Saccharomyces cerevisiae S288C: one gene and its partners. The gene in region 3 interacts genetically with the main gene of each other region. Each region holds a gene or a part of one and is shown on either strand. Other genes may lie near its edges.

What was found.
Region 1: mutations in PRS5 (region 3) and IPK1 together harm fitness more than expected from each alone (negative genetic interaction), as found in Saccharomyces cerevisiae (4 studies listed by BioGRID).
Region 2: mutations in PRS5 (region 3) and VIP1 together harm fitness more than expected from each alone (negative genetic interaction), as found in Saccharomyces cerevisiae (3 studies listed by BioGRID).
Region 4: mutations in PRS5 (region 3) and PKC1 together harm fitness more than expected from each alone (negative genetic interaction), as found in Saccharomyces cerevisiae (2 studies listed by BioGRID).

The regions. Positions count from the first base shown.
Region 1 is NC_001136.10:1,092,241-1,095,496, reverse strand, and holds IPK1 (inositol pentakisphosphate 2-kinase), read left to right. Parts: upstream 1-1,910; coding exon 1,911-2,756; downstream 2,757-3,256. Other genes in the region: OMS1 (putative RNA methyltransferase), read right to left, coding at 319-1,734; RAD34 (Rad34p), read left to right, coding at 2,986-3,256. UniProt on the Saccharomyces cerevisiae protein: Has kinase activity and phosphorylates inositol-1,3,4,5,6-pentakisphosphate (Ins(1,3,4,5,6)P5) to produce 1,2,3,4,5,6-hexakisphosphate (InsP6), also known as phytate.
Region 2 is NC_001144.5:933,708-943,299, forward strand, and holds VIP1 (inositol polyphosphate kinase VIP1), read left to right. Parts: upstream 1-3,833; coding exon 3,834-7,274; downstream 7,275-9,592. Other genes in the region: BLS1 (Bls1p), read right to left, coding at 178-546; rRNA-processing protein UTP21, read right to left, coding at 707-3,526; YLR410W-A (gag protein), read left to right, coding at 7,776-9,092. UniProt on the Saccharomyces cerevisiae protein: Bifunctional inositol kinase that acts in concert with the IP6K kinases to synthesize the diphosphate group-containing inositol pyrophosphates diphosphoinositol pentakisphosphate, PP-InsP5, and bis-diphosphoinositol tetrakisphosphate, (PP)2-InsP4.
Region 3 is NC_001147.6:207,393-214,938, reverse strand, and holds PRS5 (ribose phosphate diphosphokinase subunit PRS5), read right to left. Parts: upstream 2,696-7,546; coding exon 1,205-2,695; downstream 1-1,204. Other genes in the region: MAM3 (Mam3p), read left to right, coding at 1-922; APM4 (Apm4p), read left to right, coding at 2,944-4,419; CRT10 (Crt10p), read left to right, coding at 4,674-7,546.
Region 4 is NC_001134.8:11,713-21,620, reverse strand, and holds PKC1 (protein kinase C), read left to right. Parts: upstream 1-3,924; coding exon 3,925-7,380; downstream 7,381-9,908. Other genes in the region: SEA4 (Sea4p), read left to right, coding at 328-3,444; putative Rab GTPase-binding protein SRO77, read left to right, coding at 7,742-9,908. UniProt on the Saccharomyces cerevisiae protein: Required for cell growth and for the G2->M transition of the cell division cycle. Mediates a protein kinase cascade; it activates BCK1 which itself activates MKK1/MKK2.

The DNA of each region.
Region 1 (3,256 bases), on a different chromosome or scaffold from region 3:
AAGACAGACCACCCATGAAGTTCCGTCTTATGTTAGCGGACTTAGCTCAGTTGGGAGAGCGCCAGACTGAAGAAAAAACTTTGGTCAAGATATCTGGAGGTCCTGTGTTCGATCCACAGAGTTCGCATTTTTATTTTTTCCCAGTGACGCAATTTTTGGATTGTTAATAATAGCGTCGTTACGTCACATATGGTCAGTATGATCACTTTAGAAGTAAGGAGAACTACCTAAGGGGTTTTAGATCACATTTTAACTTGCTTACTGAAATATTTACACGATTCTAAGCCTGTATAAAATTCATTGGTATGAATAAATATGTTAACTTTTACTTACAGGAGGTACTGGCTCAAGTTCTTTTTTAGATGCCATATCGTCTTTTTTTTCGAATGATTCCATTCTCTTTCTAATACTTGATTGCAAGTATTTTTCTACAAACCCAAGCTCGTCTTTCTTTTTCACATCACCTTTTCTCTTTGCAACGATACACCAAGTAGTGCCTAAGTGAGTCCGTTTTTCTTCCACCAATTCTAGGTCAGAATCATCTAACACTTCGCCTAAGTCGAGATTCCATCGACAGCCCCAAGTATTCAGTCTTCTTTCAGCTCTGTTGTCTAATATCTTATTTATAAAATCGTATTGACCTCTACCATGTTCCAGTAAAATAATTCTTCCATCTGGCTTTAATAACTTGCCAAAATTATTAAGTGCCTTAACCGGATCTTCATGGGAACACAAACCAAACGCCTCCACGATAGTATCATATTTTACTTGGTTTTCCTTTTCATTCTCTAGAGAGGGCTTACCTTTCTCTGCTAAGTCTACTAGATTTTCCGCCTTTCCAACAACAAATGCAACTTTTTTATACTTAGGAAACTTTTCTCGGAATTTTTTATGTGTAATTTCCATCATATTTTCAGAAGAGTCTAAGAATGTTATAGAGTTGATGCGTGACATATCAAGGTACTTGATATTTCTTCCTGTACCGCATGAAACTTCCAAAACATCCCCTTGACAATGTTTCATTAACCATTTCCTTCTTTTACCGAGAAATATTACTCTCTCTTCCATATTAATTGCCTTATCATATTCGTTAGCTTTTTCTTGGTAAAAGTTTGTTGTGTCTCTTGCTGGCAATATTTGTTCATTCAATTTGTTTTGATCAAAATTCTGTACCCGAATATCATCGAAGTTTTCAATGCCTTCTTCTTGCATTTTTTTGTATTCTTCTAATTTCAATTCATCTCTCCTCCTTAGTTTTCCTTTCAATTCTTTAATCCTTAATGCTTCGTATTCATTGGCATTCCCTTCTTCTTGTTTCTTCAACAATCTTTCCAGTTCTTTGTCTTTCGCAAACAGTTTTTTGGTAAAGAAGAGACCATAGATTAAAAATATCACATAAGCACCGATCATGTACTTGGTCATTCCCTTTGAAAACTTTTCTGATCTCGCAATAGCTCCCCACCTCACAAATCTATTAGGTGACCTCAGTTGTTCTTCGAACCTCTCTTTGGCCAATTCTTCTTTTGTTTTTTGCTTACGAATGACTCTATTGCTATTCATTTGGAAAACATTTTTAAGCTTTTTTTTACTTTTATCATCATCAATGTGGCTGCTGTTATATTTATAAGATGTAAAAGATAATGATCGCCTTTGTGATTCCAACAAAAGACTCCTGGATGCCGGTTGTCGAATGTGATGTAAAAGGCACGTAGGAAAGCGACGAAATACGATCATCCTCACTTACTTATGGTTTTCTTGTTCGTTCCTCAGTGGTTTATTTATCGAAGATATTTTCACAAGGTACTTTTTTGATGCGGTCCCATTTAGGGTTTCCAAAATTAATTCGAACCGTGATATGCTACCAGTCGAAAATTGTCAGAGATAAGTTCCTTTTTTGAAAAGAAAGATCGATGCAAGTCATCGGACGTGGTGGGGCAAATATACTGATTGATTATGGGGATCCTACGTGGTTGTGGCGATGCTGCATCCGTTGGCCCGATCTGTTATCATCAAATAATTCTTATACAATCAAAAACATCAGTTATATTAAAGATTATGTAGAACCTCTTCTACATGGCTTGCTTTGCCCGATGTATCTGATTGACGTCGATATAGAAGCTATAAGGCCAATTCTCAGTGACTTTATTCTAAATTTAGACGATAAGGTAGTCAAAGTTATCAAAATTAAAAATCTCACCAATAATACCTCAAATCTGATATTAAATAACCACTTTTTAAAATCTTATTGTTCACAAAATCTGCAAACAGTTATTTTAGAATTGAAGCCTAAATGGTTATACTATGATACAGATTACTGTAGGAACTGTACTCATAATGCATTTAAGGGTAGAGGCACTAAGTACTGTTACAATCAATTACTAATGAATCCAGCACACTTGGAATTAATATTTGGAGAATGTAATATATTTCCGGTTAAGTTTAAAGATGCCATGCATGAGTACTTGCGCAATGACAATAACATTTTCAAGATCCTTTATGATTTACAGAAAAAACTTACAAAGAACACAACTCCAATAAGTGACATAAAATCAATCAACGATGTAAACGATGAGCATCTGCTACTCATGACACTCAGAGACGTGACATGTTTCATTGAATGGAACAGTGCTGAAAATGCGTTGCACGTGAATATAATAGATGTAGATCTAAAGCCAAAAGAAAAATGGACCCATTGGACAAAAACTTACAGCCAGTTGACATCAAGCCAAAAAATTTATCATACTTCAAATAAATAAACTGTATACTTTTCTTTCCACCTTTGGTACTGGCAGATGCACATACATTACCATTTGTAAAATATATGGATAGATAAGTATTTTTTTTTTCTAGTGGCCCTCTGGAAAATGTAAATAATAAAACGGAAAACACACAAGCCAGGGTGAATGACCAAATTCGATATTCAACGAAGGGTCAAACCTTGAAACCTAGCATACATGAGTTTAAGGAATAGTGAGAAGAAAAGTAATGGCCAAGAGACTGTTAGAATCAAGCCAAAATGATCAGGCCAATCGAAAAAACTCAAAGATTGAGAAGAAAGAAGTATCGTTTTATGAGGAGGAAGAAACAGATGATTCTTTTGATAGTTTTTACCAGGATGAAGAAGATGATTTAAGTGATATTGATTGGGAAGAAGTTTCTTTAGATGGAAGCTTAACTGTCACATTTGGCAATATACGCAGAGACAGGGAGAAAGTCAGCAAGTACAAAAGAAAGCATAATAAAAAAGCATTCAATT
Region 2 (9,592 bases), on a different chromosome or scaffold from region 3:
ATTTGCATTACACAACTTTAACTCAGTTAAAGAACTTCGTCATTTACTTATTCTTCTTTTTTTTCTTACCCTTCTTTCTCAAATCTTATTTCTGTATAAAATACGTATTGATTCATTCCATTAATAATAACATATAATAATAGTACTAATTTAAAAACATTGAATATATTTATCGTTTTATTTCGAGTTGCGATTCTTTTCTATCAGTTGGTACGTCATTTCAAGGATTCGGAGATCCCTATCCACAAGCTCTGCTTCCTTTTGTAATGCTTCGGTATGCCCCATATACGGAGTGTACTTTTCCAACATATAGTTAATAGGAGAAACACACTTATTTTTAAATGAGTCGTCATGAAGTCGCAATAACTTCTTCAACTGTACATTTAAAATATATGATTGATTATTTTCAATTTCTTGCAAAGTCTTCGAGGCTTCTGTTCTATGCGGAGAGTTGATTATTTTGTCGAGTAATCGGTCAAGTTCTTCAGACCTGTTTGGCATTTTTACGATTATCCAGTTCACACACATTGAGAATGTAAGGAACATTTATTTATTGTCGATCATTTATTAAATGTGGGAGGGACCCTTTAAGAACACTGCAACAAACCCAATAAATAATTCTTGGTTACCCTCTCAAAAAACATCATAGGAAAAAGAAAAATATACAATCTGCCTTTGTTACTAATATACTTGTTCTATATAATGCTCACGCGGTGGTCACAAAAGCTGCCACTCCCATGCAAAACTTCACAAGATCATCTAATCTGTCTTCCTTCTTATGTACATCCTCCCAATTTTGAAGAGCAGAGGCAATATCTTGATTCTTGTTGTTAGCATGAATAACATCACCGTGTGCCTTAAACAGTAAGCTCATAAACGTTTCATAAAGTTCGAAATTTTTATTGCTCTTCAACCCCTGTGTTAACGCGTCGATAAACCACACAATTTCATCAAATGGCTCAAAGGAATTCAATGATCTTATCTCCAAATCCACTGCAGCAGGTGAGAAATTTATTAGAGTGGCCAGCAATGATGAATAGTCCTTGGATTGTGAGCCCTCTCGTAATTGCTTTGTGAAATGTGATTCAAACCCTAATCTTCCTGTAACTTTGAATTTATTCATTTGCTCTTCTGCATCTAACTTCTTTTGTGCTTCTTGATCTCTGCGATGGATTTCTTCTGGTGTTTCATGTGCTATGCCTTCTCTGACAGAGGCTTCATCCCCAACCTTTTCCCCAGATAGTTGCAAGAAAAATGGAAGCTTTTCTGATTTCTTTGGAGCTTCCTTTGGCTTAGAACGTTTTCTGATAACATCTAAATGAAGCAATGTGTTCATTTTACTTCTAGGTCCTATTGATAAAGTCAACAGCTCCTTATCAATCTGTTCCAATGATGTATAAGTGTTGAAATCAATATCATTTAGGTCTTCTCCTCCATTGCTTTCTAAAGCCCCTGATAACATCGAGTCGTTCCCTCGAACAGATGTGCTAGGTAACGCCATTCTTGCAAATTCAGACTCATCGATGGTTCTTGTCGATACTGTCTTAAATTGTGCTCTGTTCGTCCAGATGCATATACCATTACCAGTAACATGGGTAGTGGCAAGCAAGTCACCATTCGGAGAAAACTTTACATTCGTAGCGACATTATCTACTATGATACCATCGATACATCCTCCGGTTGGAAGATCCCACGTTCTAATGGTGGAATCTAGAGAAGCGGAAACAATCCAACGGCCCTCAGGTGAGAAATCAAATGCAGTTATTCTATTACTATGACCCCATAATTGACGAACAACTCTTTGAGTAACTGCGTCAATAACAACAATTGATAAGTCGTCTAAAGCCAATGCAAATAGATCGGAAGAACGATGATAAACCATTGCGGTAATAGGTGCATCCAATTTCAATTTTCCCAACAAGGTTGACTTGTTAAAGTCATAAAAACCAACAATACCGTCTAGTCCACAAGAAACCATTTTACGATTCATACCATCTAAGGATATACCGGTGACTGCTCTTTTGTGCAATTTGTATTTTTTACGGAGTATACCACTTTGCATATTATAGATGGTGATAGAGCCGTTAGAAGAACCGATGAATCCAAAATTACCACATTGCGACATGGCCACAGATTTAACAAATCCATCATCAGTAGTATCAAAAGTCCACCTGCCAACTCTTTTATTTCGCATATCCCAGGTTCTTGCAAACTTTTCATCTTTATGTGCAGTGATAATGTTTTCCCATTCACCTATTCTGGCATTTTCAATTGCAAGAGCCACTATTTCAGGAAATTTAGACTTAATTGTACTACCACCTACCCTGCCGCCATCTTGTTTCTTGTGTAACCTTTGTGACATTTCTTGCGACTGTGCATCTTTACGCAGAGAAAAGCTCCATAATGATCTATCTTTGGATGCTGATAGCATGAAGTGTGATTGCGAATCAGCAAACGCAATGTATGAAGGTGGTTGAGAATGACCCCCTCTGGAACGTAGATATCTTGGCGGTTGAACAACTACATCACCGCTTCCTTGAGATAATGACGGATCGAAAACGTACTCCTTCAGGGAATTGTCACCACCTGATGTAACAATAATGGGTTGACCATTTAAAAAAGTAGCCTGAGTGACACCACCGTACGATTCTCTATGAATGTTCTTCAAAACGTGTATTCTTGAACGGCGATCTAAATCATAAAATATTAGATCACCACTGCTCGTTCCCACACTCAAATGAGAAGAACCGTCGGTTCTGAAACTCAATGAGGAGATTCTTGATTGCGGAATCTTAATTGTGCGGATCCTTTTACCTTTTCTCATATTAAACATAATAACCTCACCGGTCACGGTACCTAGAGCAATAATATCCAGGACTGGAGCGGGTTCAGCAGTTGTGATTTGGTCTGGAAATTCGTTTGATGTGAATACAAGCTTCCCGGTTCTGACGTTAAAAAGTAAAACGTTAGATTTGGTAACGACAGTTAATTTATTCAAATAAGTTGCCAAATGTTGTAAAGACACAATTTCGCCACCTTGAATTTCAGTAACGGTAAGTTTAGTGTAGAATTCTGATGGATATTTATCTTGCGGATCGGACTTCTTGTATATAAAGATGGAATTGTCGTCGGTGGAAGCGCAAAGATAATCTCCGAATATGCACAAATGTTCGACATTTGCATCAGTTTCTAGCTCAAGCAAATGTTCCTCAATACCCCTCTTGTAAATACCAACCTTGTTTTCATATGCTGCGTAGACGTAGTGAAAGTGTGCTGATAATGCTACAATTGAGGATGGTGTTTCTTTCTCGGAAACAAAAAGTAAATGTAAGGTATTCGCATCATATATCTGAAATGTTTTACCAACACACGTTACAATGTAAAAGGTAGATCCCAATGTACCAGTAGCAAAAGGAACACCATTGCTAACATTACCAATAATCCGGAAAGGGGAAAATATCTTAGAATTTTTCCCTCTACTTCTTACGTCTTCTTCGACTTTTCTTTTTTTCAAGTCGATAGACATAATGTACTATTCCTAACTCGCTATAGCCTTTTCAGTGTCTTATTCCTTGCTGCTGTTTCGCTGTATATTTATTGTGCTTAGGACTTATTAAATTTCATTAGCAATCTCATCGCGAAATTTTTCTCAAAATTTTTCAGTTAAAAAAAAAAAAGCACGTGCTCAAAAATGTTTTTAGAAAATCATTTATTTAAGATAGGAAAAATGCAATTAATCATTGAATCAATATGTTCACCACTTAAATTACCCACTGAGCATTTCATACAAATTCAAAAGCATCTCGTAGCATATTAATATATTGCAGAAGGTCATGAGTGGGATAAAGAAGGAACCGATTGAATCTGATGAGGTTCCTCAACAAGAGACAAAAAATAACTTACCTAGTGCACCTTCTGAGATGTCACCCCTTTTCCTAAACAAAAACACACAGAAGGCTATGCAATCTATTGCACCAATATTGGAGGGTTTCAGTCCTAAGACGTCAGCTAGCGAAAATATGTCTTTGAAATTGCCACCTCCCGGTATTCAAGATGATCACAGTGAAGAGAATCTCACCGTGCATGATACTCTGCAAAGAACCATAAGCACTGCACTAGGAAACGGAAACAACACCAATACAGTTACAACTTCCGGTTTAAAAAAGGCAGACAGTGAATCAAAGTCAGAAGCTGATCCTGAGGGGCTCAGCAATTCTAACATAGTCAATGATGCAGATAACATAAATTCCATCTCCAAGACCGGATCGCCCCATTTACCTCAAGGAACAATGGACGCTGAGCAGACTAACATGGGAACTAACTCTGTACCTACTTCATCAGCTTCTTCACGCAAATCCTCGACTAGTCATCCCAAACCTAGGCTACCCAAGGTAGGGAAGATTGGGGTATGTGCAATGGATGCAAAAGTCCTTTCAAAGCCAATGAGACACATTTTGAATCGTTTAATTGAACATGGTGAATTTGAAACTGTCATTTTTGGAGATAAGGTGATTCTAGATGAAAGAATAGAGAATTGGCCAACTTGCGACTTTTTGATATCTTTCTTTTCTTCAGGATTTCCCCTAGATAAAGCAATTAAATACGTCAAGTTACGCAAGCCTTTCATTATCAATGATTTAATAATGCAAAAGATTTTGTGGGACAGGAGATTATGTCTACAAGTATTAGAAGCCTACAACGTTCCAACACCTCCTAGACTGGAAATCAGTAGAGATGGTGGTCCCCGTGCCAACGAAGAATTAAGGGCAAAATTACGTGAGCATGGCGTAGAAGTTAAACCCGTTGAAGAACCGGAATGGAAAATGGTTGATGATGATACTTTAGAAGTTGATGGGAAAACCATGACTAAGCCCTTTGTTGAAAAGCCCGTTGATGGTGAAGACCACAACATTTATATATACTATCATTCTAAGAACGGAGGAGGCGGTCGTCGTCTATTCCGTAAAGTTGGTAACAAGTCTTCTGAGTTTGATCCTACTTTGGTTCATCCTCGTACGGAGGGGTCTTACATTTATGAGCAGTTTATGGATACCGATAATTTCGAAGATGTGAAGGCTTATACGATTGGTGAGAACTTTTGTCACGCTGAAACTAGGAAATCACCTGTGGTTGATGGTATAGTTAGAAGAAATACTCATGGTAAAGAAGTTAGATATATTACTGAGTTATCAGACGAAGAGAAAACCATTGCTGGGAAAGTTTCCAAAGCTTTTTCACAAATGATCTGTGGTTTCGATTTGCTTCGCGTTTCTGGTAAAAGTTACGTCATTGATGTTAACGGATTTTCTTTTGTAAAGGATAACAAAGCTTACTATGATTCATGCGCCAATATATTGAGAAGTACCTTCATTGAAGCCAAAAAGAAGATGGATATGGAAAAGAAGAATCTGCCCATTATTCGTGAAGAAAAGGAACAAAAGTGGGTATTCAAAGGACTGGCTATCATTATCCGTCACGCGGACAGAACACCAAAACAGAAATTCAAACATTCATTCACTTCGCCTATTTTTATATCGTTACTAAAAGGTCACAAAGAAGAAGTTGTCATTCGGAATGTAAATGATTTAAAGATTGTTCTTCAGGCCTTAAGAATTGCGTTAGATGAAAAAGCAGGAAATCCAGCTAAAATTAAAGTGTTAGCAAACGCTCTAGAAAAGAAACTGAATTTTCCCGGTACGAAAATACAATTGAAACCGGTTTTAAATAAAGAGAACGAAGTGGAAAAAGTTCAGTTTATTTTGAAATGGGGTGGTGAACCCACTCATTCTGCCAAATATCAGGCTACGGAACTCGGAGAGCAAATGAGACAAGATTTTGACCTATTGAATAAGAGCATTCTACAAAACATCAAGATATTTTCATCGTCTGAGAGACGTGTTCTTCATACGGCGCAGTACTGGACCAGAGCTCTTTTTGGGGCCGATGAATTAGGTAGCGATGAAATCAGTATTAGAAAGGATCTTTTAGATGACAGTAATGCCGCCAAAGATTTAATGGATAAGGTGAAAAAGAAGTTGAAGCCACTTTTAAGAGAGGGTAAGGAAGCTCCCCCACAATTTGCCTGGCCTTCAAAGATGCCGGAGCCATATTTAGTCATAAAGCGAGTGGTTGAATTGATGAATTACCATAAAAAAATTATGGATAACAACTTTGCTAAAAAGGATGTCAACTCGATGCAAACAAGATGGTGTACTTCTGAAGATCCTAGTTTGTTTAAGGAAAGGTGGGATAAACTTTTCAAAGAATTCAATAATGCTGAAAAAGTCGATCCTTCTAAAATTTCTGAATTGTATGATACTATGAAGTATGATGCTCTTCACAACAGGCAGTTCCTAGAGAACATATTTGACCCGGGTCTTCCAAATGAAGCTATCGCCGATGAACTCGGCAGTCATTCTTTAGTTGACCGATACCCAATTAACGTTCTCGCCAAAAATAATTTTAAGATAATAGACAGTCATAGCATGAACAATTCTGGAAAGAACAGTAGTAATAGTGTTGGGTCGTTAGGATGGGTTCTGGAAAGCGGAAAAACATCTACAGCAAGAAACCCCAAATCTTCTTCTCAATTCGATGAGCCACGCTTTATGCAGTTGCGGGAGCTGTATAAGCTGGCCAAAGTATTGTTTGATTTTATCTGCCCCAAAGAATATGGTATTTCAGATGCAGAGAAACTGGATATCGGTTTGTTAACTTCGTTGCCTTTGGCAAAGCAAATACTAAATGATATAGGAGACATGAAAAATAGAGAAACTCCAGCTTGTGTTGCGTACTTCACCAAAGAGTCCCATATTTACACTCTATTGAATATCATATACGAATCTGGTATTCCAATGAGAATCGCTAGAAATGCTTTACCAGAACTAGACTACTTGTCGCAGATCACTTTTGAACTTTATGAGAGTACGGATGCTTCTGGTCAAAAATCGCATTCCATTAGACTAAAAATGTCTCCTGGGTGTCATACTCAAGATCCGTTAGATGTTCAATTAGATGACAGGCATTATATTAGTTGTATTCCAAAGATTTCCCTGACGAAGCATTTGGATATGGACTATGTTCAACAGAAATTGAGAAACAAATTTACCAGGGTCATTATGCCTCCGAAATTTACACCAGTAAACATTACGAGCCCCAACTTGAGTTTCCAGAAACGCAAAACCAGAAGAAAGTCGGTATCTGTTGAGAAGTTGAAACGTCCTGCCTCGTCCGGATCTTCATCATCTACCTCCGTTAACAAGACATTAGATTAGTGATCACACCCAATTTTTAATTTAGTAACCCAAAACTAAATAAGTATTTACTCAACTTTTTTTTAAAAAAAAAAAACTTAATTGAATTTTGCTCGCGATCTTTAGGTCCGGAGTTTTCGTTGAACCCTTAGACGAGCAAATTAGCGCCATAAGGATATGCGTCAGAGCACATTAATTAGTGACATATACCTATATAAAGAGCAACCTTCTTGTTGGAATAAAAATCAACTATCATCTACTAACTAGTATTTACGTTACTAGTATATTATCATATACGGTGTTAGAAGATGACGCAAATGATGAGAAATAGTCATCTAAATTAGTGGAAGCTGAAACGCAAGGATTGATAATGTAATAGGATCAATGAATATTAACATATAAAATGATGATAATAATATTTATAGAATTGTGTAGAATTGCAGATTCCCTTTTATGGATTCCTAAATCCTCGAGGAGAACTTCTAGTATATCTACATACCTAATATTATTGCCTTATTAAAAATGGAATCCCAACAATTACATCAAAATCCACATTCTCTTCATGGTAGCGCCTATGCTTCGGTTACTTCTAAGGAAGTCCCATCAAATCAAGATCCGTTAGCCGTTTCAGCTTCCAATTTACCGGAATTTGATAGAGATTCCACTAAGGTTAATTCTCAACAAGAGACAACACCTGGGACATCAGCTGTTCCAGAGAACCATCATCATGTCTCTCCTCAACCTGCTTCAGTACCACCTCCACAGAATGGACAGTACCAACAGCACGGCATGATGACCCCAAACAAAGCTATGGCCTCTAACTGGGCACATTACCAACAACCATCTATGATGACGTGTTCACATTATCAAACGTCACCTGCGTATTATCAACCGGACCCACACTATCCGTTGCCACAGTATATCCCACCACTGAGTACTTCCTCACCTGATCCAATCGATTTAAAAAATCAACACTCTGAAATACCTCAAGCTAAGACAAAGGTGGGAAATAACGTCTTACCACCACACACTTTAACATCAGAAGAAAACTTTTCTACATGGGTTAAATTTTACATCAGATTTTTGAAGAACTCTAATCTCGGTGACATCATTCCAAATGACCAGGGTGAAATCAAAAGACAAATGACTTATGAAGAACATGCGTATATATACAATACCTTCCAAGCATTTGCCCCATTTCATTTATTGCCAACATGGGTAAAACAAATTTTAGAAATTAATTATGCTGACATCCTTACAGTCCTTTGTAAAAGTGTGTCCAAAATGCAAACTAACAATCAAGAATTAAAGGATTGGATAGCTCTTGCCAACCTTGAGTACGACGGAAGTACATCTGCTGATACATTTGAAATTACAGTCAGTACGATCATTCAGAGGCTAAAAGAAAACAATATCAATGTTAGCGACAGATTGGCCTGTCAACTAATACTTAAAGGTCTATCCGGTGACTTCAAATACCTACGTAATCAATATCGTACCAAAACGAACATGAAACTTTCCCAATTATTCGCTGAAATTCAATTAATATATGACGAAAATAAAATCATGAATCTAAATAAACCGTCCCAATACAAACAACACAGCGAATACAAAAATGTTTCTCGCACATCTCCAAACACGACTAACACAAAGGTTACAACTCGTAATTATCATAGAACAAATAGTTCAAAACCAAGAGCAGCAAAAGCTCACAATATTGCTACATCTAGTAAATTCTCAAGGGTGAACAATGATCACATTAATGAATCAACCGTTTCATCACAATACTTAAGCGATGACAACGAACTTAGTCTTAGGCCAGCAACAGAAAGAATCTAAGCCAACACACACAATAGACTCGAATGACGAACTACCTGATCACCTTCTTATTGATTCAGGAGCTTCGCAAACGCTTGTCAGATCAGCCCATTATTTACACCATGCAACACCCAATTCTGAAATAAACATAGTCGATGCTCAAAAACAAGACATTCCTATAAATGCCATTGGTAATCTTCACTTCAACTTTCAGAACGGCACCAAAACATCAATAAAAGCACTACACACACCAAACATAGCCTATGATCTATTAAGTTTGAGTGAGCTGGCTAACCAAAATATTACTGCCTGCTTTACCAGAAACACTTTAGAAAGATCGGATGGTACAGTACTAGCTCCCATAGTCAAACATGGAGACTTTTACTGGTTATCTAAAAAATACCTAATTCCTTCGCACATTTCAAAGCTAACAATAAACAACGTCAACAAAAGCAAAAGCGTAAATAAATATCCATATCCGTTAATACATCGAATGCTTGGACATGCTAACTTCCGAAGTA
Region 3 (7,546 bases):
ACAACCGGGGCCCTTGAGCAAAAGGCACATTACTTCCTATTTGCATCATTTGTACACTAGCTCTCACAAGGAGCACAAAGCTGCTGACCAAGCTGATGAATCGTCTCCACTCTTGTCTCCATCCAATTCTAATCACCCATCCGAGCACCCACAGCAAGATTTGAATAATAAGTCTTGGAAGCAGAAGTCAAATGATGGTTACGACAGGTCCAACGCTGTATTGTCTCCAACTCCACAAGTGACGGAACATGGCACCATCATACCTTCAAATCTAGCGTCCAACCCGTTGAACGTAAATAAATCTTTTGTTACCATTAAAAAGCCTGCCAATGTTCCGAAAATCATTACTACACACACTCCTCATTCTAGCAAAGAGCCTTCTCCAGCACCACACTCAAATGATAAATCACTCTCCGCCGAAGAACAACAACTATTAAGTGATCATGCAGAGCTATCTCGCCAAGCTGTTCTCCATACTCAACGGTCGGGTCAACCAACTCAAGTTACTACCTCGACTAAAACCACGAGAAATAGCCCTGATAGTATATCAATTCCAAATTCTGGCGCGAATCACGGCAACGAAAATCAAAACGTTACAATCTCAACCTCTTACCAAAATACGAAGAATGGTATTGTGGAATCTGTCATCACAGTCAAAGGTGTTCCAAAAACCATCATTGGCCCCGCAAAAGATTGGGACGAATCCAAAAGTGAATATGGAAACGAGAATATCAATCAAGAGAATTCTAATCGAAGTGACGATAGAGAAAGTTCAAGTTCAAATGCAAGTTTATTTTCCAGTATTAAGAATAAATTTAAGAACGAAAACGCTAACAACAATGATCGTTCTAATTTCACCGACTCTTTGTCAAGAACTTCCAATTATGATGCCAACGGCTCCTCGTCGACCATAAAAAGATGAAGAGATTATGCCAAAAGAATTGCCCATGCATCATAATAACCATCATCACCGTTCTTATTAGTCCCAGACGCATGAAATCACAGGGGAGAGCAGCTTAAAATTTTTTCTACAGACATACAAGAAGAAATTGCAGTTTTTTTTTTTTTGTTTCTCTAACCTATAAATAAAATGTTTCAATACACATACTAAACAAAGAAAAAAAAATGTAGAGAATTTTATACGCAAAATATATAGACACTTTCCCCTATTTTTATCAATAAAAAAATGAACACATCAATGCCACTACCATCCATGCTCGAACAACATAGAAATGGATTCACCGTTATGGATTCTTCTAATTGCTTCACCGATTATGCAGGAGACATCAATAACATCCACTCTGTCCTTACCTAGGTACTGTAGTGTTCTATCTTGAGGAACCGTGTTAGAAATGATCAACTTATCTATACTACTTTGGCCGATTCTTTCTAGCGCATCACCGGAAAAAACACCGTGCGTTATTAAGGCATAAACTTTGGTAGATCCTTGATCCTTCAACAATTTCGCAGCTCTTGTAATAGTGTATGAAGTATCCACCAAGTCGTCGACTATAATACACACCTTGTTTCTAACATCGCCAACAAGCATGGTAGTTTGAACGAACTTGGACGAATTAGAAGATTGCGACGAGGTGGAAGATGTTGAAGTTGTTTTCTTCATTTCAAGGGCCGCAACCCCAGTGGCACCTGAAGAAGTAGTATTTTGGGAGGAAACCAAAGTAGTAACTAATGGCCTTGGAGATACTGGTAACGAACCACCAGAGGTTAACGTCGCATCTGGAGGGCCCTTCAATAACTGAGATCTTCTTTCTTTATGAATTAGGGCGAAGGACAATTCCAAGGCGTCTGCAATAGCCGTAGCTCTCTTTGCACCACCAGCATCTGGAGAAACGATCACAGCATCCTGATAATCTGGAATGCGATGCTGGATGTAGTTTTGTGCAATGGGTTTACAGTAGAGATTATCCACTGGAATGTCAAAAAACCCAGGGAACTGTGGATCGTGCAAATCCATTGTGATCACATGGTCAGCACCTGCAGCACTCAACAAATGAGCAATCAAAGTACCGGCTTGTACTACCCATAGCTTATAGCCTGCATTTTGAGCGTTGAACAATTCACCAGCGTCCGTGCTATTGCTTGTATTTTGTAACTTACCACCGGGAATCATAGGAATTCTTGAAAAAGAAAGCGTCTTCTTGATGTCGAAATTGTTATTCGCCGTAGCACTGCTGTTTGGTGTTCTGATAGGTTGAGGATTTTCTAAGTTGATAGTTGATCGTATTGCACTATCCAAACTCTTCAACGAGCTCTCAGCACCTGGTCTTTGCGTCATTAAAGAAGATGACACGGGTGTGCCTGGATGCGATTCAAAAGTATAGTTTTCTTTAGGCTTGGAAATTATGGGAGCACCCTTGGCAGTATATGGAATATCTGGCTGTCTCGAGTAGCAGAGATATGGCATTACGGCTGTAACCCTCGAGGCAGAAGCGGACTTGCAGGCACTGATTAAAATCAGCAACTGCATGAACGTGTCGTTCACCTGGCCACAACCACTCTGGATGATATATACATCCTTTTCACGAACAGATTCGCGAAGAGCAATGTTCGTTTCCCCATTAGAAAACTTCCCTAATTCTACTTTCGATGGGTGAATGTCCAAATTTTCACAGATCTTAGTAACTAACTCGGGGTGCGAGTCCCCTCCAAAAACAACAATATTACTCATTGACATCCAGACTGCGTTCCTAGCCTCGTAGCAACCTCCAACAAAGTCACTTTCGACCAACTTACTCTCATCTCATCCAGCCCTTCTCGCTAATCGTAGCCATTTATTATTTGATAGAAAATTTTTTTCAACTGCGGTCGAAGGGTAACAGCCATATTTTCCTTAATTGATTAGTATAGGAGAACTTGATGATAAAGTGTGGAAACCTTTCATAAACGGTTGGAGAAAAGAATCACATAGAGTTATGGTGAGCAATGATTAGTGGTGTGCTGGTATACTCATCGAGAGGTGAACTTGTCTTGAACAAGTTCTTCAAGAACTCGTTGAAGCGGTCCATATCCGATATCTTCCGAGTACAAGTGATCAATAATCTAGATGTTAGATCGCCTGTTTTGACACTGGGCTCAACTACTTTCCATCACATCAGGTCGAGGCATGGTGACAATTTGTGGTTGGTAACCATTACGAGAAGCAACGCTAATAGTGCGGCGATCTGGGAGTTCTTATATAAGCTTGATGCAGTGATGAATGCTTATCGATTGGATAGAGAGGAGGCCTTGAAAGAGGAATTCATGATTGTGCATGAGATGCTGGATATAATGTTGGGTGGAAATGGGATACCAATTGACACTGAATTGAACTCTGTTATAGCGCAGATGTCTGTGAAACCCGTTAGAAATATGGGCGGATTGTTAGATAGTCCCGATGGAAATGATGTATTATCTTCCTCTTCATCTCCTACTTCTTCAGCAGGAGAACTACATTTTCCCAAATTTTTGACAAAAAGAAGCAGTAGTTTCCTGGGTCAAGGAGACTCCACTTCTGATTTCTATGATAACAATAAGATCACTTGGAGGCCCAAGGGGATAATACACAAGAAGGATGAAGTTTTCTTGTATGTCAATGAGAGGATAAACATTCTGGTATCTAGGGATGGTTCTATCTTGAAATCATACGTTGATGGCACCATAGATATCACCACACACTTGAGTGGGACCCCTATTTGTAGATTTGGATTGAATGATTCTTTGGGAATGCAGTCCGAAGACGAGAAGAAATGGTTAGCACAGCAGCAGCGTCACTCTGGCAGCGATTTTGGAAACAAGAACTTCATTCCCAAAGCTGCTGCCGGTAGTGTTTTGTTGGAAGATTGCAAGTTTCACGAATGTGTCTCACTTGACAAATTTAACAGAAATCATATCATTGAATTCGTCCCACCAGACGGTTCGATGGAGTTGATGAAATATCATGTACGAGATAACATAAACCTGCCGTTCAAGGTTACACCTATTGTTACACATTCTACAAGAGATAACGAGATTGATTACAGGATAACATTGAAGTCTTTATTTCCTGGAAAACTTTCCGCCAAAGATGTGGTACTACATATACCCGTTCCACCAAGCACTGTGGATTGTAAGATAAGTGTCTCTAATGGCCACTGTAAGTTTGTGCCAGAAGAAAATGCAATGATTTGGAGGTTCAACAAGTACAATGGGTTGACGGAAAACACTTTAAGTGCAGTTACTGTGTCCACAAGTGATACTACTCAATTGAATCTTCAACAATGGACAAGACCTCCAATATCCCTGGAATTCGAGGTCATGATGTTCAGTAATTCTGGCTTAGTCGTACGATACTTTACCATTTCTGGAAAAGACAGTAAGCATCGTGCTGTAAAATGGATTAAATATATATCGAAAGCCGGTTCTTACGAGGTGAGGTACTAGCCCGTAATTTTTGTGTACATATATTTTTATCATGCCTGTATTTTTTATAGTAATTTCCTTTAGAATGCACATTTTGTTAATATTGAATATTTTCTATTATGAGAGACATGCAATTTAGTTTTTCATTGAAAAGAAAACAGGGAAAAAACATGGAAAAACCATACAAGACACCAAAAACACCATAGTAATGAAGATCAACAGCGCAATCAAGAGGCACTGGTACTTCTAGGCTTGAAAATTTGGTTTTGAATATAATGCCCCCTCAGATTCCCAATGAAAATGATGATCTCTTTACAAGGTGGCTTAAGTCTCGGGCCATCATACAAAGGGCAGTATCGACAAGAGAGTGCTTTGACTCAGAAGTATTTCTGGCGTCTGGTGGCTGGAATATAACGAATGAGATAATAACGTTAAAGAAATATTATCAACTCAAGTGGCCAAACTCCAGTTGCAATTCGTTTCATCCAAAAACCGTGGAGTTTATTAAAGAACGATTACACAACCTAGAAGAACATGACTCTTCATGGAAAATCCCAAATCCTGCTTACTCATTCAAGAAAGCCTTCTTGGAGGATACTAAATCTGCATTTTCCAACTTAGAACCCGTCTGGGGACCATCAAGGCTTTTGAATCCAGCTGAATTACTATTGCCACAGGACGAAAAACTACTTGTTCAAGAGATACCACTAGAGTTCGCACCTTTTCAATACACAAATAGGTTTGCTTATGGTGGTTTGCAGTTCAAGAACAATTTGTTCGTCACTTATGGGAGTTATTCCTTCCTGGCTGCCGGTCAATGCGTCGAAGTTCATAATTTCGATATACTATTGAACGTTTCGTCATTAGAAATATGTCACGCCTTATTGCCCGTGATAATACCAGATGACGGAGATGTAAGAAACTTCCGCAATTCATCATATGTGAAATTTAAGGATACACAGTTCAACAGCATACCTGAACTATGTTCTATCAACTTTATGAAGATTTGTAACTTCATGCATCAAGATTTTCTACTAGCTTGCGGTGACAACGGAATCGTTTATATCTGGGAAATCAACAAAGTTATTAAGATATTTAATAAATTTACTTCGGATATCTTGGGAGGCAAAGATAACAGCCGGGAAAGATACATAAATGTTGATCCATATATGGTGTTAAGAGTAGAGGAATCTTGTTGGAGTGTTGATGTAATAGATATAAATGGCATCATATATATCGCTGTTGGCCATAACAAGCCTGGAGTTACAGTCTTTGCATTCGATAAAGATGTAAAGAAGGAAAGACGGTACATTCGGCCTCTAGATCTTCCCTCATCTCACAATGTTCCTTGTGTTAACTTTGTTCCTAATTCAAAAGATTCTGTTGGATATATTACATTAAGTTATTGTTCTATATTTGGGAATGTTGTTACCGTTAAATTAAAGGAGCATGATTGTACCATTTTAACGAGTTTCCTTGATACTCAATTTTTTGGCGACGACTTATGGACAATAACTCCACTGACTAAGAAGGATTTTGCGAAAGTTGACAATTTCGAATTGTTGAATCTTAACTACCAAGACGGTTTCAAAGAAAGCATGTTATATTCTATTTGCCGAGATGATTTTTTACTTGGGTATTACTGTGATAACGCCTACCTCTCTGGGAATTTCGGTATTGGTACATTACTCAATCAATTTCAGGTTCCTGTCACAGACCTACGACTGACTTCTTCAGCAGGGATCCCCGATGAAGTTATACCATTAAGATTTACCTCATTTGATAGAAATTACACTACAACGGGCTCGATAAAATACGAGTACAGCAGAGAGGATTTTGCACTTATTTTACATGCCGGTGACTTAGACGATATGAATGATGCAGTGACAAAAAACACCTCATGTGAACAGCATTTACACCAATGGACATTTTGGGAGGATTCTGGTTATAAACATTATCGTGCTACTGAGCGTGGATTTTCGAAATACAAGGATATTATTAATACTTTTCCACAGTTGATAACTCCTAGTGGAAGAAATAAAACATCGCAATATCAAAACACTTCTGGGAGAAAGATCTGTGAGCCGTCTACTTATAAACTTACTGATCTCGAAAATGATATTGAAGATATATCTCGCGAATTTAATAGAAGTATTCGTAATTTGAAAATGGATAAACAAAGACAACTACGAACTTCAAAAGAGTTCAAATCGCTAAGTTCAGTAAATCATATACCAAATATTGAATCGGGAAACTTTTTATGGTACAACACCGATGCCGCTGCCGATTGGAGAACACTTTTTGGCAAGGATTTGAACACGGTCTTGAAGGACCCAGAAATTTGTAGCCTTCAACTGAACTCTACAGAAGAGGACGATGTCAATAGCGACCCTGAAAATGAAGAATCTGGTAGCAGCTTAACAAGTTTCCAGCGAAGATATAGGGATACTGAACAGCGTGCTCACTTGAAATCAGAATCGCAGAAATCTTGGGGGTTCCACAACTATGTAAGAAACGTCAAGCGGTTATTAGAGTCAGCAGTACCGGGCTCAGAAGATTCGCCTCTTGGGTATCAACTATCCGAAATGCACGACGAGTTCTTCTTCCTAACCACAGCCCATAGGCTGGTGTTGATGAAAGCAAATCCACTCATAATTATATCAGCAACTCATCATGAGATTTTTCCCTTAGATGGTGTTGTGACGTGTGCTTCCAAGTCGCTGCTCCAAGCACTAAACAGAATAAATTTTGTGTGTCACATCAAAGAACTAAATTGCATAGCCGTGGCTTCACAATTGGGTCTCATTTCATTACTAAGACTAACAGAGTACAGAGGCATCTATTCGTTTAGACAAGAGTATATTCTTGGATGGGAAGTCCAAGACCCTGTTAACCCTAGTCCAGAGTGCAGATGTAACAGGAACTTGTTTGACGCACCAATGTATGGTGCAGATGGAGAGAGCTCGGACACATACTGCGGCGTGTGCGACGTCTATTTCCCCATGGGTGATATTTGCGGACTAGATTACACTTATGCATCTGACAGTGAAGAGTTAAAACGTAAGGGATATGCTACCTTATACGTAGCATCAAGAGGCTCCTTGAGGGCATTCAAGATCACAACTGAGCATGGAACAACTCAACAATA
Region 4 (9,908 bases), on a different chromosome or scaffold from region 3:
CGCAATTGGGTATGATATGATTTTTAGTGCTTTATAATTTGGCGTCGCAAGAATGTAGATCACTTGTATCAATGGAAAGCTTACTTGGGTAACTCATTTATTGAGAAAATCAATGGATGTCGAATTTATATAGAGTAGAGCCAACACTTCATGATTGGAAAGCATATACCAAACGGTATACCACTGATAATATGAATGCAGAAGACTAATGCGCTACACATCATACTTTACGGCGATGATATATTTCAAGATAGCATAAGCTCTATGGTTATTCTGATGTTACTGGTAGTCGTAAGTGCAGTATCACGAACGTATAGAAGAATAAACATGGGTCTCATCAAAAAAGTGACCCATTGGTCATATGATAATTTGATTGATTATCTTTCAGTGAACCCTACAAGAGATGAAGTGACCCACTATAAAGTGGATCCGGAAAATGAATCTGATGAATCAATTATTAAATTACACACTGTGAAAGACTTCGGCAGTATCACCTGCTTAGACTATTCAGAATCAGAAATTGGTATGATTGGAGTTGGTGAAAAGAATGGATATTTAAGGATTTTTAATATCTCTGGACAAAATTCCTCATCGCCAGCGAGCCATGCGCCAGTGGGCTTAAATGCCAATAACGAGACTTCTATGACAAATGCCAGCGGTGGTAAGGCAGCTCAGGCGGAAAATATAGTTGGATCTGTCTCAAATTTAAAGGATACCCAAGGGTACCCTGTTTCAGAAACCAATTATGATATACGTGTACGAGCAAAGAAGCAGCGGTGTATAAACTCTCTGGGAATAAATACGAATGGTCTTATAGCAATGGGTCTTGACAGAAATAAGCATGATTCATCTTTACAAATTTGGGACATGAATTATCATGATGATTCGCATGAAACTATCAACCCAATGTTTAGTTATTGCACAAATGAAAGCATAGTATCCCTAAAGTTCCTCAACGATACCAGTGTATTGGCTGCAAGTACGAAATTTTTGAAAGAAATTGACGTCAGATCCCCCAACCCAATTTATCAACATCCGACACGATTGACGTATGATATCAAACTGAACCCGTTTAACGATTGGCAATTTAGTACTTATGGGGATGATGGGACCTTAGCTATTTGGGATAGGAGAAAATTATCTGACCAAGCTTCACTTGGTGATTTAAATGTAGCTTCCCCTTTATTAACTTTTGAAAAATTGGTTGGATCCGGTGCAGCGTCAAGGAAATACATGAACTCTTGCTTTAGGTGGTCATGTGTGAGGAACAATGAATTTGCCACCTTACATAGAGGTGATACCATCAAAAGATGGAGGTTAGGCTATTACTGCGATAGCAATCGTGATATTGCGGCAGATGACGATAACGAGATGAATATTGAGAATTTGTTTGTTTCTTCCGTGCATGACACAAATACGATGTACGATAGAGTTGCTACATTTGATTATATTCCAAGAAGTAATAATGGAACAAGTCTAATCTGTATGAGACAATCGGGAACAATATACAGAATGCCAATTTCAGAGGTATGCTCCAAGGCTATACTCAATAATAGGAACTCTCTCTTATTGTCAAATTTTGAAAATACTGAGATAGATGAAATTAGAGTCAACAATGAGCATGAAAAGTCCAACTTAGAGAATGTAAAAACAATCCTAAAGAATCTATCGTTTGAGGATTTAGATGTTAGCGAAGATTACTTTCCGTCTGGACATGATGAACCTAATAATGAAATTGAGTACTCCGAGTTGAGTGAAGAGGAAAATGAAGGGAGTAATGATGTCCTTGACAGTAAGCGTGGATTTGAACTGTTCTGGAAGCCAGAAAAACTTCTGGAAAAAGATATAAGTGTAATAATGAGGACGCGAGCTTCATTGGGATATGGTTTGGATCCAATGAACACGGTAGAGATGATTGATTCTTCTAAAAATCTACAAAACAATGCTTATATAAGGAACACATGGAGGTGGATCGCGATTGCAAAGGCTTCTGTTGACGATGGTACGATGGTTTCTGGTGATCTTGACTTAGGTTACGAAGGTGTGATAGGTATTTGGAATGGTATAAACGGAATATCGAACCAAGACAGATATAGACAAGAGACAATTCTTTCTGATAAACAACTAAATAAAGAAATGGAAAAAATCATCAAACTAAGAAGGAAAAATAGGGATCGGAACAGTCCTATTGCCAATGCCGCTGGTTCACCAAAGTACGTTCAGAGAAGACTCTGTTTAATTATCTCAGGATGGGACCTTTCCAGATCTGATTATGAAGACAAGTACAACATAATTATGAAAAACGGCCATTATGAAAAAGCTGCCGCTTGGGCGGTATTTTTTGGTGATATCCCAAAGGCTGTAGAAATATTGGGATCTGCAAAAAAGGAAAGATTGAGACTAATTGCCACCGCTATTGCAGGTTACTTGGCGTATAAGGATCTGCCAGGTAACAATGCATGGAGGCAGCAATGCAGAAAAATGTCCTCCGAATTAGATGATCCTTACTTGAGAGTTATTTTCGCCTTTATCGCAGACAATGATTGGTGGGATATTCTTTATGAACCTGCCATATCTTTGAGAGAACGATTAGGGGTAGCTCTAAGGTTTTTGAATGATACAGACCTAACCACTTTCTTAGATAGAACTTCATCTACAGTTATTGAAAACGGCGAATTAGAAGGTTTAATTCTCACCGGAATAACACCTAATGGTATCGATCTACTGCAATCATACGTTAATAAAACCAGCGATGTTCAGAGTGCCGCACTGATATCAATTTTCGGCTCCCCTAGATATTTCCGCGACCAACGAGTAGATGAATGGATACAAACTTATAGAGATATGCTTAAATCGTGGGAATTATTCTCCATGCGAGCCAGGTTCGATGTTTTAAGATCAAAATTATCGAGAACTAAAACTGGTGTATTAACTGCAGACATAAAGCCCCGGCAAATATATATCCAATGTCAAAACTGTAAACAAAACATCAACACTCCGCGCACATCCTCACCTTCTAGCGCCGTCTCTACTAGTGCTGGAAATTACAAAAATGGTGAAGCCTATAGAAGAAATAACGCTGACTACAAGAAATTTAATACTGGAAGTTCTGAAGCACAAGCAGCTGATGAAAAGCCAAGACATAAGTATTGTTGCCCACACTGTGGGTCTTCATTTCCAAGATGTGCCATATGTCTCATGCCTCTAGGAACGTCAAACTTACCTTTTGTAATAAATGGGACGCAATCACGCGATCCAATGCAGACAGAAGACTCTCAAGATGGTGCAAATCGCGAACTCGTAAGTAGAAAACTGAAGTTGAACGAGTGGTTCAGCTTCTGTTTGAGTTGCAACCATGGTATGCATGCCGGTCACGCTGAAGAATGGTTTGACAGACATAATGTTTGTCCCACTCCAGGTTGCACCTGCCAGTGTAATAAGTAGTATTGTACAATAAACCAAATCTTGCAACTTCTCTTTATTCTCACAATATATATACATAACCAAAGAAAAAACGTAATTAGTATAACATTGTATTTATGAGGCATTGCTATCTTCATTACCCAGCCCGCCTAGTTTTAAAGGCGAAAAAAACCGACGAAAAGAGTTAACAAGCGTGGATAATAAAGTTGATCTACTCTATCGAAAGTAATACGACAGGTTCAGGAGCAGTAAAAGAGCTACGATTTCACTGCTATTCAATTTGGCTGAGTAGAGACTGATTATTAACCATTGTAAAAGTCTCTGCCACCACTCGTCCACACTTACGTTAGAGGTATTCAGCGTCGATCCCCTTTCAGTATAGATTTTTAAAACTATATTAGATAATCAATAGGAATAAAACCTAGAACAGTAGCTGCGGAGAGAAGCTCTAGCGAGGAAAAGTAAGTATAGTATCACACATATAGGGAGCAGTTTACAGTCATGAGTTTTTCACAATTGGAGCAGAACATTAAAAAAAAGATAGCCGTCGAAGAAAATATTATTCGGGGAGCTTCTGCCCTCAAGAAAAAGACTAGCAATGTTATGGTCATTCAGAAATGTAATACGAATATTAGAGAGGCACGTCAAAATCTTGAGTACTTGGAGGATAGCTTAAAAAAATTACGGTTGAAGACCGCTCAACAAAGTCAGGGTGAAAATGGCAGCGAAGATAATGAGCGATGCAATTCGAAGGAATACGGGTTTCTTTCTACCAAATCGCCAAATGAACACATATTTTCTCGTTTGGATTTAGTAAAATATGATTGCCCTTCTTTGGCGCAAAGAATCCAATACATGTTGCAACAATTAGAATTCAAATTACAGGTGGAAAAGCAATACCAAGAAGCCAATACTAAATTGACTAAATTGTATCAAATTGACGGTGATCAACGTAGTAGTTCTGCGGCAGAAGGGGGTGCTATGGAATCCAAATACAGGATTCAAATGCTTAACAAAGCTTTGAAGAAATACCAAGCTATTAACGTTGACTTTGATCAATTTAAACACCAACCCAATGACATAATGGATAATCAACAACCGAAATTCCGAAGAAAACAACTGACTGGCGTTCTAACAATTGGAATAACTGCTGCTAGAGATGTTGACCATATACAATCACCGATGTTTGCCAGGAAGCCAGAGAGCTACGTTACTATAAAAATCGATGATACGATCAAAGCCAGAACGAAGCCTTCTAGAAATGACAGGTGGAGTGAAGATTTTCAAATTCCAGTTGAAAAAGGGAATGAAATCGAGATTACTGTATATGATAAGGTGAACGACTCGCTCATTCCAGTGGCTATAATGTGGTTACTGCTTTCCGATATCGCTGAAGAAATTCGTAAGAAGAAAGCCGGACAAACAAATGAACAACAAGGATGGGTCAACGCTTCAAACATTAATGGTGGTTCTTCTCTCGCTAGCGAAGAGGGAAGCACATTGACTTCTACATACTCAAACTCAGCCATTCAGTCTACTTCAGCAAAGAATGTGCAAGGCGAAAATACATCAACTAGTCAAATCAGTACGAATTCATGGTTTGTCTTAGAACCATCCGGGCAGATTTTGTTAACACTAGGATTCCACAAGTCTTCTCAAATAGAAAGGAAGCAGTTGATGGGTGGACTACATCGTCATGGTGCTATTATCAATAGGAAAGAAGAGATATTCGAACAGCATGGCCACCACTTTGTACAAAAATCATTTTACAACATTATGTGCTGTGCATATTGTGGTGATTTCCTTCGGTATACTGGGTTCCAATGTCAAGATTGTAAATTTTTATGTCACAAAAAATGTTACACCAATGTTGTTACTAAGTGTATTGCTAAAACTTCTACTGATACGGATCCGGACGAGGCAAAGTTGAACCACCGTATTCCTCATAGATTCCTGCCTACTTCAAACCGTGGTACTAAATGGTGCTGTCACTGTGGTTATATTTTACCATGGGGTAGACATAAAGTACGCAAATGTTCTGAATGTGGTATAATGTGTCATGCTCAATGTGCTCATTTGGTTCCCGATTTCTGTGGCATGTCGATGGAAATGGCTAATAAAATTCTGAAAACGATTCAAGACACAAAACGTAATCAAGAGAAAAAGAAGAGGACAGTTCCGTCGGCACAGTTGGGGTCATCTATTGGTACTGCCAATGGTAGTGATCTTTCCCCATCCAAATTAGCTGAAAGGGCAAACGCTCCTTTGCCTCCTCAGCCAAGAAAACATGATAAAACTCCTTCGCCTCAGAAGGTAGGAAGAGATTCTCCAACTAAGCAGCATGATCCTATTATTGATAAAAGAATTTCACTACAAACGCACGGGCGTGAGAAACTAAATAAATTTATCGATGAAAATGAGGCCTATTTAAATTTTACAGAAGGTGCACAACAAACCGCCGAATTTTCATCACCAGAGAAAACACTGGATCCAACGTCGAATAGACGTTCCTTGGGACTCACTGATTTATCTATTGAGCATAGTCAAACTTGGGAATCTAAAGATGATTTAATGAGAGATGAACTTGAACTGTGGAAAGCACAACGTGAGGAAATGGAACTTGAAATAAAACAAGATAGTGGGGAAATCCAAGAGGATCTAGAAGTTGATCACATTGATTTAGAGACCAAACAGAAACTAGACTGGGAGAACAAAAATGATTTCCGTGAAGCTGATTTGACAATAGATTCCACACACACAAATCCATTCCGCGATATGAATAGTGAAACCTTTCAAATTGAACAAGACCATGCTTCAAAGGAAGTACTACAAGAAACAGTGTCCTTGGCTCCTACAAGTACTCATGCCTCCAGAACCACTGATCAACAATCTCCGCAGAAATCACAAACCAGCACAAGCGCAAAGCATAAAAAGAGAGCGGCTAAACGTCGTAAGGTTTCATTAGATAATTTCGTATTACTCAAAGTTCTTGGTAAAGGTAATTTTGGTAAAGTTATTTTATCTAAATCAAAGAATACTGACAGGCTTTGTGCCATAAAAGTTCTGAAGAAAGATAATATTATTCAAAATCATGACATCGAGAGTGCAAGAGCAGAAAAGAAAGTATTTTTGTTAGCCACAAAAACTAAACACCCATTCTTAACCAATCTATACTGCTCTTTTCAAACTGAAAACCGTATATATTTTGCTATGGAGTTTATTGGGGGCGGTGACTTAATGTGGCATGTTCAAAACCAAAGACTATCTGTAAGAAGGGCCAAATTTTATGCCGCCGAGGTCTTACTGGCTCTGAAATATTTTCATGATAATGGTGTAATATACCGTGATTTGAAGTTGGAAAACATTCTATTAACTCCAGAAGGTCATATAAAAATTGCCGATTATGGTTTGTGTAAAGATGAAATGTGGTATGGTAATAGAACTTCTACATTTTGTGGCACACCAGAATTTATGGCTCCAGAAATTTTAAAAGAGCAAGAATATACCAAAGCTGTCGATTGGTGGGCATTTGGGGTGCTGCTATATCAAATGCTACTGTGCCAATCTCCATTCTCAGGAGATGACGAAGATGAAGTTTTTAACGCTATCCTTACCGATGAACCCTTATACCCAATAGATATGGCAGGTGAGATTGTACAAATATTCCAAGGCCTATTAACAAAAGATCCTGAAAAGAGGTTGGGTGCTGGTCCCAGGGACGCAGACGAAGTTATGGAAGAACCTTTCTTCCGTAACATCAACTTTGACGATATCTTAAACCTTCGCGTGAAACCACCCTACATCCCAGAAATTAAATCTCCGGAAGATACATCATATTTCGAGCAAGAATTCACCTCTGCGCCACCCACACTTACACCTCTGCCCTCTGTTTTGACAACGAGCCAGCAAGAAGAGTTTAGAGGATTTTCCTTTATGCCAGATGATTTGGATTTATGAAGAAAAGGTCATGCCATGATTTATTTAATTTTATATAAAACATCTAAGCGGAAAAGTTGAACTGTTCCGCTTCATAGGAGGAGAGGGTTTTTTTAATGAGATTTTGTTACATAAACTGAAACTATCCATTTTGATGCAATGCCTCTTTTTTGTTCGTACCTATCTTGGAGCATGCATATGAAAAACCTCGTTTAAGCGATGCGATGCGAAGCCGTATGTTCAACAATGCGCATTCTGTTTACATTATTAAGGAAGCATTTAAGAAACAGCTCAGTATTATATTACTACTAACATATTTCTAAAGTTGACAGATTATAAAAGTTACAAAATTGTCAATTGAACAGATACAAAAATTTTATAAATGTTTAAGAAAAGCAGGCATTTGAAGAATGTGTCAAATGCTATCAAATCCGCGAGAGTTCATGACGTCTCAAATGGTATTAACTCCAAATTTTTCGATACTAAGAAAATATGCACATACGGCATAAATGGACGAATCACTGTTACCACATTCGACTATACTCAAAGCCTTTTGGCAGTTGCAACTACTGCTGGGGAGATACATGTTTATGGGCAAAAGCAAATAGAGGTCGTATTTACGTTAAAAAATCGACCTCAAATTAAACACATGCGGTTTATTAAAGGAATTTATCTGATAGCTGTAGATGAGAAGAGCAACATAATAGTTCTTTCAGTACACTCGAAACAGATTCTAACTACTGTTTTCTGTCCAAACAGCATCACTTGTATTGAGACTGATCCGTCCTTGGATTGGATGCTGATTGGCCTCGAGAGTGGATCCATATTGATCTATGATGTGGATAGAAATCAAATGTCCAAATTGAAAATTGAAAACTTCCAGAAAAGTGTGTTTTTGCCAAAAGAGAGGCTATCACCGGTTATTTCTATCCAATGGAATCCTAGAGACATAGGAACGATACTTATATCATATGAGCATATTACAGTCATATATTCTTTCATTGACTACAAAGTCAAGCAACATTTTTTTTACCAATTAGAACCGTATGCTCCGGGCGGTGATCTATCCACAAACATAGAAAAGAAACGCACTCCAAAGGTCATTCAGTCACTTTATCACCCAAATTCCTTACATATATTAACTGTCCATGAAGATAATTCCTTGGTATTTTGGGATGTCAATAGCGGTAAACTGATTCACGCTAGAAGTATATTTGAAACACATGTGAATTTTCCAAATCCTGCCTTGAAAGACTGTTCCTTTACAGAAACACCCGCTATCTTTAAAGTAAGCTGGCTTTGCCAGCGTAATCCTGAGTATACATCGTTGTTGATTGCAACAAAAGCTACAGAAAATCCCTGTTTACCTCAGGAAATAACCATGATTGACTTAGGCGGCACACCAATGTATTCTGTGACATCATTTGACGCAATGAGCAAGTACTATGCTAAACCGGTTCAACAAAAACTATTTTCGTTGATTGGCAAAGCTCCACTAATAAATTTTCTACCCTTGCCGAAGGCTTCTCCATATTTTGGTGGATGCCATGACACAAACCTCATTTTATTACTTTTAGAAGATGGCGAACTTGAAACATTGATATACCCAGCAGGCTCTTTTAGTTCCAAGGCCTCCATTTTCCCTCGGAGCTTAGCATGGGTTCGACCAACGGTTACTACTTGTATAGCGCAATCAGTTCAAAAAAATCTTTGGCTGGGGATGATGACAATCGCTCAAAGTGAATCGTTTTTAAAAGGTGGTATTCCTGCCACCAGAAATATTAGAAGGCATGAGACCAGATCTGCTTTACTAACTGGGCATAGTAATGGTTCAGTCAGAATATGGGATGCTTCACACAGTGAAGTAACTGACAACGCTGTATTTGAAGTGAATACTGCTAAAGTACTTAACAGAGCTACTAACCTGGCCATAAAAAATATCTCCTTTGCATCGGAAACATTGGAATTGGCGGTATCATCTGAGGTTGGGGATGTTATTCTTTTCAAATTCGAAACAAACAAGTTTTACGGACAACTTCCCAAAAGCGATGCACTGCAATTGAAGTTTAGCAGATTTTCATTGGATGATTCAAAAACTATTTTAGTTGATGTTTCGGATAGAGGGCCTACGAACGTTAAACAAGGCTTTATACCAAGTACGGTAATACATGCTAAAAAAGGTGCGGTGTCCGCAATCATGAATAGTAATATCGGGTTCGTTGCCGTTGGTTTCATTGAAGGAACCTTAATAATATTGGACAGAAGAGGCCCGGCTATAATCTTCAATGAAAATATTAGGGTCATTTCTAAAGCTGGTAGCTCTTACGTTTCAACCGTTCACTTTTGCGTCATGGAATATGGAGATGATGGGTTCTCTAGTATTTTGATGCTATGTGGAACGGATATCGGGGAATTGATGACTTTCAAAATACTGCCTGCAACTAATGGAAGATTTGAGGTTAAATTCACTGATGCAACAAAGACCAACAATCAAGGAAAAATTCTAGGAATAAATTCTTTTGCCAAAGATACTGGCTACAGTTGTTCTG